Mus musculus: one gene and its partner. The protein of the gene in region 2 interacts with the protein of the main gene of each other region in a biochemical or structural test. Links are inferred from orthologs where the notes say so. Each region holds a gene or a part of one and is shown on either strand. Other genes may lie near its edges.

What was found.
Region 1: the proteins of Ipo13 (region 2) and Magoh form a complex in vitro, tested with the Homo sapiens proteins (2 studies listed by BioGRID and IntAct). The link is inferred for Mus musculus from reciprocal best matches to the Homo sapiens genes IPO13 and MAGOH.

The regions. Positions count from the first base shown.
Region 1 is NC_000070.6:107,877,698-107,883,553, reverse strand, and holds the start of Magoh (protein mago nashi homolog), read right to left. Parts: upstream 3,800-5,856; 5' UTR 3,697-3,799; coding exon 3,609-3,696; intron 2,662-3,608; coding exon 2,603-2,661; intron 487-2,602; coding exon 376-486; intron 1-375. UniProt on the Homo sapiens protein: Required for pre-mRNA splicing as component of the spliceosome. Plays a redundant role with MAGOHB as core component of the exon junction complex (EJC) and in the nonsense-mediated decay (NMD) pathway.
Region 2 is NC_000070.6:117,911,612-117,917,527, forward strand, and holds the start of Ipo13 (importin-13), read right to left. Parts: upstream 3,389-5,916; 5' UTR 2,761-3,388; coding exon 2,677-2,760; intron 899-2,676; coding exon 162-898; intron 1-161. UniProt on the Homo sapiens protein: Functions in nuclear protein import as nuclear transport receptor. Serves as receptor for nuclear localization signals (NLS) in cargo substrates.

The DNA of each region.
Region 1 (5,856 bases), about 10 Mb from region 2:
TTAGATGTGTACGCCACCACAATTAGGCCTCCCCCGCCTCCACACCCCTAGCATTAGGATAGAAACATGGGGCTATACAAGACAGGAGAAACACAGACTACAGAAGTCTGGAATACAAGAGTAAGTAGCACACAAGGTGGAATTATCTTGTACTTTTTTAGTTATCAAAATGGTAATAAAGGACTGGGAAGTTGGCTCAGTTAAGAACACTGATTGCCCATCTAGAGGACCTGAGTTCCATCCCCAACACCAACATGGAATTAATGATTCCCTAGAACAGGGTATTCCTAGTTCTGTAGGGACCCCTCCTCCCATAGAGCAGCAGTCCTCCTCCTCTTTGTAAGAAGTACAAAGTAGAGTCAATAAAGCACTCACCTGCCGGCCCACGCGATCAGGAGGGGGCCACAGAGCATCATCTTCTTTGGTGATTTCACTGTCATCAATAATTCTCTTTAACTCTTCCATCACACTTTTATGCACATAAGCCTGCAATCAAGTTTAAAATGTATGAGCCTAAAGGGGCCATTCTCCTTCAAACCACCGCACCCCAACAACATCCAACTCAGAAAGTAATAGTGAGAAGAGTGAGAGGCACAGCCTTTAGTAAAGATCAGGGCTCAAGGGCAGAGGAGGCAAGGGAATTATCTGGTCCCCTTTCGCCCCTTTGTCATGTGAAGAACAAAGTTTGTTTTGGGAGGCTACAGCAATAAGACACCATATAGAACAGATGGGGTCCTCACCACACAACCAACCTGACAGGGCCTTGGAATTCACTGAGAGGTGAATCTATTCTTTGTACCCAGTCTCAGGCATTTTAATATAGCAGTGCAAATGGACAGAGATACACCTTTACTCTATGGCTTGGACATGATTTCAGTGTGGCCTTCCCAACTCCATTTATGTGACTAAAGGTTTGGTCCTCAGGGTGGTACTATGGGAAATGGTATAGACCTTGAAGAGGTGGGAATTAATGGTGGGTTCTTAGATCATTGCAGCATATCAGCAGAGGAATTGTGGGCCTCCAATGTCTGTGTGTTTCTCTCCTGGTGAGAGAGGTCACTGCGTGGCCACACACCCATTCTCACTACTGCAGCGGTGTTTGGATTTTGAACCTCTGGAGTGATGAGCTAAATAATCTCTTCTTTATTTTTGAGAATTTCACTGAGCCTCACTGGCTTCAAACTTGCTATGAACTAATTATTTCTTTTAAAAAGGCTTTTTCAGGCAGAGTTTCTCTGTACAGACCTGGAACTTGCTCTGTATATCAGGCTGTCGTCAAACTCAGAGATTCGTCTCATTCTGCCTCCCGAGTGATAAAAGTCTTATACCATCACCACCACCATTACTGAGTCCAACTTGAATTTCTAATCCCCATGCCTTCAACTACAAAGTCATGGAATTGCAGGTCTGTATCATTCCTGACAATAATCCGGCAATAGCCTCTGTCAGATATATTGTTATAGTGGTAACAGACAACTGATACACCCTGCTGCTTACAGACAAGGTTTCATGCCTCGCAGCCTGGCCTTGGTGATCTTAAACTTCTGAGCTTCTTGCTTTCACCTCCCCAGTGCTGACATATAAACATGGCTACCATGATCAGTTTCTGTGATGCTAAGGATGAAGCCCAGGGCCTCATGAAGACAAGCACTCTACCAACTGCTTCTGAGGAGCACTAGGTCATGCAAACAAACAACCCAAACCAAACAAAGAGAAAAAGATATGATGCTGATTCGGCATAAAATTAACTGCTAAATTGTATGAAGACATACTGTCATATCCTTAATGATATAGTAGAAATCCCAGCAGAATGGAACACATGACCTTTACTGAGATTCAGATATGCCCAAATGCCTATCATTATCTCTTACAAGCAAGAGTAACTATCCTCAGATTTAATATCTAGGCCATGATTTTCCTGATTGAAAGTATGGCAGAATACTTTGTCACATGGGCTTTTTATAATCAGGATTAAACAACATATTGTTTGAACGAGGTTATTCACACTCTGAACCTAGATGGGTTTCCACAGTAAAAGGAGGCAAAATGATTTGCTCATCTATGAGTACGCTGCCACCCCCATCCCCCGCCTTCTTCCACTCCCCAGTGTGTGGATCAGGAGGGGGCTCTGAGGTGGGAGAGTAGTAGTAAATGTCTATGGTTTAGCTCTAAAGAGCGTAATTCGAGGTTGAGACTTTCCCCTGATCCGTTTCCTCTTCAGAAGCAAAGTCAATGCTGTCTTCATAGTCTATGTACTAGGGACTAATATATTTAATTCTATGATAACATTTGGGAGTCACAGGTAGGTTTTCTTATCCTTTGTTTTACAGATGAAAACACAGAGACCAAGTTCAGCCAGAGAACTTGTTTTGAGGTCACATGGTCAGTATGGGGCACACCGAGGGTACAAACCAAGACACACAGATTTCAAACACTTACTAGCTTTTGATTCAGCACTGGGGGGGGGGGGGGAGTGAATCAGAGAAATAATCTAGCTGCTTAGAAATAAGTGCTCGCTTCCTACACTTCATCTTTCATTACCAGAGAGAACATAAGCAATGGGAAACCAAAGGCTAAGTCGTAGTGAAGGAAAGGTCTGTACCTCTTTCCTGATCATGACGTCATTTTTGTAATTGCTGTTGTTGGCGTATCGCAATTTACCTTCGGAAGAAAAAAGAAAAAAAAAAAAGAATGCAACGTATTAGAAAACATGAACAAAGCACCATTACCCTCCAAAGAATATGAGCTTTGCCTAAATTATATCGAATGTTTCAACCCATTTCCCAGCTGTGATAGTAGTGTTTTTGGTACTTCACTTGAAACTACTGAACAACAGAAGAAGGACCTGACAGTAAACTAGAGTCCCGGGAAAAGGCTGCCATGATGTAGCAAAAGAACACGTTCTCAGCTGTAAACAGGAATTTTAATGCTATCTTAGCTGCACAGAGAAGAACATGCTGATGTTCAACTGGGTTGGGAAAGGACTTTGAAAACTAAGGAAGCTGTATGCAAGCAAGCACTACAAACACCTGTATAGCGAGGCTCTTGACTAACATCACCCCCTACTACTGTCTCTCAGTCACCCCAGTGACCACCTGGATATGTCTGGCTCTTTGAGGTCCTATGACACTTGCTACTCCTGTAGATGCTTTTCTTCCTGTACTTCAAAAATTGATCCCTTTTCAATTACGGCTTAATTCAAATTCACACTCCTCAGACTGCTCTTTAAAAGCGACCTTACTTTTTGATCACTCCACACTACAAGAGATCGCTGTGGTTTCTTCCGGCTCTGAAACACATGTTCCACGAGAGGGGAAAATTTATTTTTGTTGCTCTGTCCCCAGACTGGAAAACAAACAGCCCATTCTCAGATGGACATTAAATCTTTGTTGAATGTAAGCAACCTGGCTTTTTAAAAAGCTACGAAGGAGAATCGCCAGCGGATGAAGAGAAAGAACCAATGAAGCCGACAAAAGAATGCCTCTTTCACGACCCAACAGCACGGTGGTCGGCGTCCCTTGCTTCGCTTCGCCACATTCCGCAGCCCGCCTTCTCTCCGCCCTCCCCGGGGCCGGTCCCACTGCCCGCAGCCGGGAGGCCGCTCTTACCGTCAGGTCGGAATTCAAACTCCAGGAACTCATGACCGAACTTGCCTTTGTGGCCCACGTAGTAACGCAGGTAAAAGTCACTCTCCATGCCTCGCAAGGGACAAGGAGGACGGAACTTTAGGAACGGATGACACTACCACGGCCTGCGGTCTACGTCTTATACTGGCGTAATGGTGGCGCGCGGAAATGACGTCTGCCACCGCGACACTAAGAGTTTCTCACTCTCCGGAGGCGGGAACGAGATTACCACGCCCCCTCCCCTAGACGCTGGGTCAAGATCGCCACGCCCCCTTGGTTGTATATCGAGAGTTCTGGAAGATCTTGGGATCCGAGAACTGCATCTGGGTTTCAGCCCAACACTGAGCGCTAGAGTCCTGTCAGGCGCAACCTCAATTTAAAGAGACAAGTGAGTCGAACGAGGTTATTCACACTCTGAACCTAGATGGGTTTCCACAGTAAAAGGAGGCAAAATGATTTGCTCATCTATGAGTACGCTGCCACCCCCATCCCCCGCCTTCTTCCACTCCCCAGTGTGTAGATCAGGAGGTGGCTCTGAGGCGGGAGATTAGTAGTAAATGTCTAAAGAGCGTAATGAGAGTTTGAGACCAGTGGCTGCATACTAAGACCCTGTCCCGAAAAATAAAGTTGGCTTTACTTAGCTGTCTTTTAAGAATGACTCCTTTCCCATTCCACAATGTTGCCTGAAACTTGCCTGCATTTAGCTAACATCCCTTTCTGCTATTTCTTTATTTTACGTGTAGGCAGAGTACTGCTACCTGATCCAGACTGACCTGAAACCACAAACCCTCCTACCTCATCCTCACGAGGGTCACCACTCATGAACGAGTTGCCTTTCATTCTTCCCTTTCAAGCTAACATGTCTAGATAGGTGTTGTGGGTCGGTTAAATGAATGTTGGATCCCTACTAGGCTTTTTTGTCTTGTTTTGTTTTGTTTTTCGAGACAGGGTTTCTCTGTGTAGCCCCGGCTGTCCTGGAACTGACTCTGTAGACCAGGCTGGCCTCAAACTCAGAAATCCACCTGCCTCTGCCAAGTGCTGGGATTAAAGGTGTGCGCCACCACCGCCCGGCTCCTACTGGTCATCTTATTTAGCAGCGATTCTCAGCCCTAGCCACATGCTGACAGAATCCAGTTTCACTGAAGCCTCTAAAAAAATACCCAGGTGAGAACTGGGCATGGTGGCCAATGCCTTTGATCCCAGCACTTCAGAGGCAGAGTGGAGTAGACCTCTGTGAGTTTAAGCCTAGACTGCTCTTTGCATAGTGAGTTCCAGGCCAGTCAGGACTACCAAGTAAGATACACACACACAAACTGAAACAAAAACGAGGTGGGTCAAATGTGGAGACCACTACCCAAGAGGTTCATTTTCAAGAGCCAAAGTTGACCTCTGTGAAAGGTCAAATTTCTGGTGCGGGAATTTTAAGGTCAAGTAGGTGAAATACGGTAAATTCTAGTCATAGAAGATTGACACACGACAGGTGTGGTGGCACATGCCTTTAATCCCAGCACTCAGGAGGCAGAGGCAGGCGGATTTCTGAGTTCGAGGGCAACCTGGTCTACCGAGTGAGATCCAGGACAGCCAGAGAAACCCTGTCTCAAAAAAAAAGAATTGACACACATCGTTACCAGAGATGTCGTCTCACCACTCTCTGCCCTGCCACTGGTTTGTTTCTTGTTCTCTGAGACAGGGTCTGGCTGTGTAGCCCTGGCTGGCCTGAAACTCACTATATTGGCCAGACTGGGCTGGGGTACAGATATCCACCTGCCTTTGCAGGACTCTAGAGGAGTCCTGGTATTAAAGGCGTGTGCCACCACCTTGCCTGGCTCCTACTGCACTTTAGAAAGATCACTTTGGTTGTCATGTAAGCCGACTGGAAAATAGGAAGGCCAGAAGTGCAATTGTTATGGAGATAGGTAGTCGTTAAGGAAATCCATGAAGGTAGTACTGTGGTGGTGATGACCCATGTGTAGGTAGTGGCTGCAAACTGGAAAATGAGTGGATTTGAAGTGAAATACCTTAACATAAAGGGTAGGTGTAATGGCTATTCCTGGTTGTCAACTTGACTATATTCAAAATGAATTACAATCCAGAATTGGAAGGCTCACCTATGGTCCTGATCTTGAGGCTGGGAGATACAAGTTTCCGACCTGGTCTTGGCATGGAGATCATGAGGCATAGTGGCTATGAATCCCAGGAGATTAAGGCAAGGAGATCTGAGTTCAAGGTC
Region 2 (5,916 bases):
TAGTTGTTTAATGTCTGCCTCACTTTTGCCACAGTGAGAATAGGGACCGTGTCTCGCCTGCATCTTTTGTCTCCGTAGGATGACGCGTATGACAGACACCCCATTGATGCCTACGGGATGGATGGGGCGCTCCCTTTCTGGGAAGCTGGAGAGTAACTCACCTTTGGGCATCAGGTTGGGAGATGGCATTGACAATGGCCTCCACGCTGCTGTCAAAGAGCTCTGAGTCCTGCAGAGCGGCGAAGGCAGCCTGAATGAGCGCCTCACAGTCCTGCAGGGGTACCTCCAGCTGCACCCAACTGGAGAAGCACTTGAGCACCTTCTGACGCACACAGCTAGGAGAGCTGGGCTGTTGTAGCAGTTGCTCCAGCAATGGGAAGACAGTCCCACACTCCACAGCCAGGCTGGTCCGCACCAGACCTTTGCGGTACTGGGGCAAGCGGCTGGTCTGAAACTCCTCGGGCAGTACTGTCAGCAACTCTAGCAGGGCCAGGCAACGGCCCTGGCTATCCACCGGCGAGTCCTCAGCCTGGAAGAGCCGAACCATATCTGCCACAGCACATGGCCAAGCGTCAGGCATCATGCTGAGAGCTAGTGAGGCCAGCGCCACGCACAGCCGAGTCAGCACAATTTTGGAGCCGCTGGCAAAGCGGGTGATCTGGGTGAAGAGCTGTGCCTTTAAGCTTTCATACTGGTCGGTGGGGATGTCGCTCCAGTAGCGAGAGATCTTGATGTGCAGGGCACTGGCCCCAAAGTACTGGATCTCGGGCACCTTGTCTGGCTGTAGTAGCTGCCAGCTGAAGTGCCAGGCCTGTGGAGAGACCTGGGCCTGCATCAGCCACTTCTGAGCCAGGTTCTTGTTGTCAATATTGGGGTCGTAGTAGAGCTGGTGCAGCGCCTGCAGGACAGCACAGGACTGAGCAGGTGCTGGCTACTCTGGATCCTGCCAGAGCCCAGAACAGAGGGTGGGACTCGGTCCTGCAAGATGCTGCCTCTCCCTGACTTGGGGGAAGACGGAGTGAGTAGGAAGGGAGAGAGCTCAGGATTCCGCTGACCTTTTGAAAGCCTGAATCTTGCCCATGCTCTATCATATTCTCTTCTTATAGTACAAACGGGTTCTGAGAGGGACTCTCCACAGGAAAGCAGAAAAGGCCGGGGCTGGGCTCGTCCCACAGGGAGGTATGTAAGGGCAAGGCCTAGGAGGAGGGAATGACTCCACGGGGAATAAATGTAAGCTCCAGACAAGTACAGAACAGCCTGAAGGAGCCTGGCTCTTTAGATACAGCTCCTCCCATTGATTCCAACAAGCAAACTCCATCTGCTCCCCCAGGATCATCCCGAGGTCACTCCAGAGGCTGGCACTAAAGCCAGTATGAAATCTGAGAAGGACTGCTTCAGGCCAGGTAGCTCTGGAACGGATACACTGGAAGGGAGGGTGGGAACATACATCTTCAGAGAGTACAAGTAAGTCTCCAATCAGATGATGCAGAGAGGCCTTGGCCAGAAGCAGCCTAAGCAAGTGCCTACCCGGGAGCTGTCAGCAGCAGAATCCCCAAGGCCCAACTCCATTGGGACTTCATGCAGAGAGAAAACAATGGCTCATCTCCCTGGCAGCACATGAAACCAACCATGTGCCACCATGCCAACACTGTCCAGCCCCAAGGGCCAGCCAGGTTCCCTAAATGGACTCCATCCAACTAGGATTAACCAAATCTGTACCCTCCCGCCCCCTGAAAGCCAGTTATGGCTACTGTCCCTTGTACAGCCAGCCACTCAAGGAAGCAAAAGGAGACAAGAGACCGAACAAGAAGATATGTGTTCTCAACATTTGTTAGGTAAACAAGCCTCAAGAACAACAAATGTTTTTCTATGACTGCCCCTTGCTATCCAGTAGGATACCCCTACCTCTCGGATCATCCTTGGGAGTATTGGGGGTGGGGCGGGTGCATTCCTGCATTCCAGGCTGCTGGGAGAAGAATAGAATAGAAAAAGATGGCCTGGGCAATGGAGAAGTCTGGAAGGAGGCCATGGCAGAAAGCCATGTGGGCAGGTAAGGAAGGAAGGGCCCTGTAAAGTTGCCAGCAGAGCCAAGCCCCTTGGACCCAGCACAAAACAAGAGAGCCAGGCACACTCCTGCCTGTCCAGGACCGGTTTGACTTCCATCCAATAAGGAAAAGACCCTTTCTGAAGATAAATGAACATATAACTCAGACGGGTTTAGCTCCAGATATCTTTGTGAGCCTTTGACTGAAAAAAAGTGAGTCGGGTCCAGGATCATTCAGCATCCGTGTGGTTTCTAACGTGGGGGTGGGGGTGGCTGAGTGGCAGGTCTTGTGAGTTTCTGGTTCCCTCCAGAACTCCGCCTGCTTTTCTCCTGGATCTGGGCAGGAGCCGATTTGGTTATAAGTCTAAACCCTTCAGCACCCTACAGGGAACAACCTAAGATCCTAGAGTATCTATCCGAAAGGGGACCTGTGTCTACAGAAAGCCCAAAATAGCCCATTAGGCACTGCAACACTGCTGTCCAAGCCGGCTGCCCAAGAGAGATGGTAAATACCAGGTGCTCTGGGGGCATCATCCCAGCGGGCACTGAGCCCGCGTCTGAGCTTTGGCATTAGTGTCAGTCCCCAGAACTTCTGCTCTGTCACTGGAGTGCCCACCCCAAGGCCCTCATACCTTCTCCACGTTCTCCACAGTGAAGTCCAAGGCTGGTGCTGCTCCAGCCCCTGCAGCCCCCAGCTGCTCCTCCCGCCGCTCCATCTTTGCTCCCTGCCTGGCAGGGAGGTGGACCCTGATCTCTTTCTTGCCCCAGCCCTTTGGCTGTCGGCCCCCTGCTAGACCCCGGCTTGAGTACCCGGGAGGTGGTGGGATGAGGGGATGCCCAGGGCGGGCATGGCTGCCGAGGCCTGCCCACCTCGTTTGGAGGGGGAGTGGGTTGCAGAGGTCAAAAGATGTGCTCTTCGGAAAGGGACCCGCTAAGGCGGCTCCCAGAAGGGAGGCGTCCGTGAGGTACTCCCAGACAAGGGTCCTAGTGGGAGGTCACAGCTCTGTCCCTTGAATCAAAAGTCATAGGGGAGGGAGGCCTATAGGGGAAACAGAGGCCCTGGCCCGTGAGGGGTCACAGAATCAACGGCCTGTACCCATAACACCCCAGTCTGGACGAGCTTCTAGATGCTATGAGGTCAGGGGGGCTGGGAGATCACCCGGGAGAGAGCCCTTCGCGAGATACGGAGACGTCCAAGGAAGCACGGGATTGCAGTTTCGTGAGTCTGGGGCAGAGTCGGTAGAGTTGGGGGACTGAGATAGGTCCCCTCCGTTCGCCTGGCCCGCGATCTGTTCGCCTCCCGGCGTTGGCCCCGCTACGGTCGCTGCCTCCGCCCCAGTGACTGACAGACAGGCCGGCCCGGCCGGGACGGGGCGGGGACCTCAGCAAGACTCGGGCTGTCCCGAGCGCCTGTCGCCAGTACCACCAACTTAGGCCCCCACCCACGCTTGTCCTGGCCCGGCACGGCCAAGCACATCGAGACACGGCACGGCGGAACTACGCGGAAACTCATTCCGGGTCTTTGGCCCTGTCCTCGTGCTAGCTCGCGCGCCCCCGAACAGGCGACGGAACGGCACACCGCCAGGGGCCCCTGCCTGAAGCAAGGACCCGCCTCTATGCACCCTGGGAAATGTAGTTTTCGTCGGACCGGAAGGTGGCTCCTGAGGAGGGAGGCTTGGAGCACGTGGGTTGGGGGTCCTATGGAACCCTATCCTATTCTCGGCTTAGGGCAGAGGACCATCTTGCTCAGTCACATTGCCTAGGAGTGCAACTCTTGCGAAGACGTGATTCATGGGGCCTTTGGGTGGAGTTGGAAGCCAAGAATGGAGGGGAGAGGGTCACGTTTGGTCGGCGCTCAGGCACAGGGAACTGGTTGTGTTGGTGACCATCAGCACCCGCTAAAGAAGAGGAAAGATAGGAGTTACTTGGTGCCCCACAATTAAAAAAAAAAAAAAAAGCACTGTGGATCTGCTCGGGAGCAACCGGGAAATCATATTATTCTGCGCGCGCGCGTGTATGTGTGTGTGAAACGAGGAGGAGAAGGGAAATCGTTAAGGTTTTCATTATGTTTCAAGTAAGAATAGCTCATGGCTTTACCTTAGGTTTTGTTCTCTCTCTATTCTGCTGTGGCGGGTTGGTTTGTTTTGAGATGGAGTCTCTTGCCTTGGGGTGGGGAGTGTACCTCTTTAATCCCAGCACTCCCGGGATTACAGGAGTGTGCCACCAAGATGGGTGTCTGAAGTGCTGTGCCTCCCGCGCACCCTGTCAACTGAACCACATCCTCCACCTTCTTTGTTTTCAAGCGGGGATCTCACTATGTAGCCCGGGCTTGAGTGGGTATTTTTATTCATTGTCTTCAGCTAAAATGGGGAAATTGAGGTTGGAGGAAGGCAAGCCCTGCTCCCAGCAGGCACTTCCTCTCCATGCTCAACTTTTTCTTTCCTTGACTCCTGTCAGCAGGAAAGGAAATGATTTCAAACAGAAGGATCTTTCTTTTTCTTTTCTTTTCTTTTTTTCCAAGACAGGGTTTCTCTGTGAGGCCCTGGCTATCTTGAAACTCTGTAGACCAGGCTGGCTTCCAGCTCACCGAAACCCACTTGTGTCTGCTTCCAAAGTGCTAGAATTAAAGTTATGTACCACCATGCCCAGCCTAAAACTTTTTTTTTTTAGATAAATTATATTAAGCTCAATTTGGGCTTACTATATGGCTTCTCTCTCCTTATTGACTAAACTCTTCCCAACACAGCCTTCTAGCAGTAGCAAAGTTGGGTAAGAATAAGAAGGGCTGGCATACCGTCAGGAGGAGCAGCAATTTTGTAAACCTGGGGAGGAAACAGATTAAGACAAGAGCTGGAGTCACTATACAGGGCTTTACATGTGTCCCACCACACCAGGTGACACTTGTGCTCTAAGGGAGGAAGCTGGCTCTGGAAGTAGCTGCTGAGGCCAGAGAAGGTCGAAGAAACTTGACAAGATCTTGACGAATCCTCAAAGCCTGGGAAGGAGAAGGACTCACTTGGCTGCTAGAGGAAGTCCATCCATCACAATGAGTCAGCAAATCGTTGTCCAAAAGGAAAAAAAGAAAATGTTTTAAGCGTTTTAAAGAAGCCAATTGGATCCCTGTGAGTTTGAGGCCAGCCTGGTCTACAGAGTGAAGTCCAGGACAGCCAGGGCTACACAGAGAAACCCTGTCTCGGAAAAAAAAAAAAAAAAAAAAAGCACCAGCTGCTCTTCCAGAGACCTGGGTTCAATTCCCAGCACTCACAAGGTGGTTCACAACCGTTTTAGGGTTTCTATTGGTGTAACAAAACACCATGACCAAATTTGGCAGGAAAGGGTTTATTCATCTTACAATCCCATATTATAGTCCATCTCTGGAGAAGCCAGGACAGGAACTCAAGCATGGCCAGCCAGTCTGCATACCAGATGCTATCCTCAGAGATCTTTGGCCAGCCAAGTCGTGCGCAGAGAAGAGCAGCAGAGGGCTCAGCTAGCAAGCAGAGGTTCAGGGACGAAGCTGCTAGTGGTGAAAGCCTTGGGAGAGCGTTCTCTTCCCAGGAATTGTTACAGCTCTTGTGACAGATGCTCTCAGGTGACAGAGTAATTGCCACACACCTTGATTCCTTCTGGATAGGATCTTATATACAGTTTTGGGATGGGTTGGGGTCTGACAGCAGGTGCTTCCTATTGGCTTCTTTGGAGATATTTGGGATGCCTCATCTACACGTGGGGAGGAGCTTGGAGTCACTGCCCCTATGTGACCCATGGTCTCTGGGGCTGGGGCTCCATGACGGACCTGACATCAAGAGCAGGCGAAGCTCTTACCTCCCCTTTGGGTCCTGGGGCTTCCAACCCAGCTCAACCTTATCAGG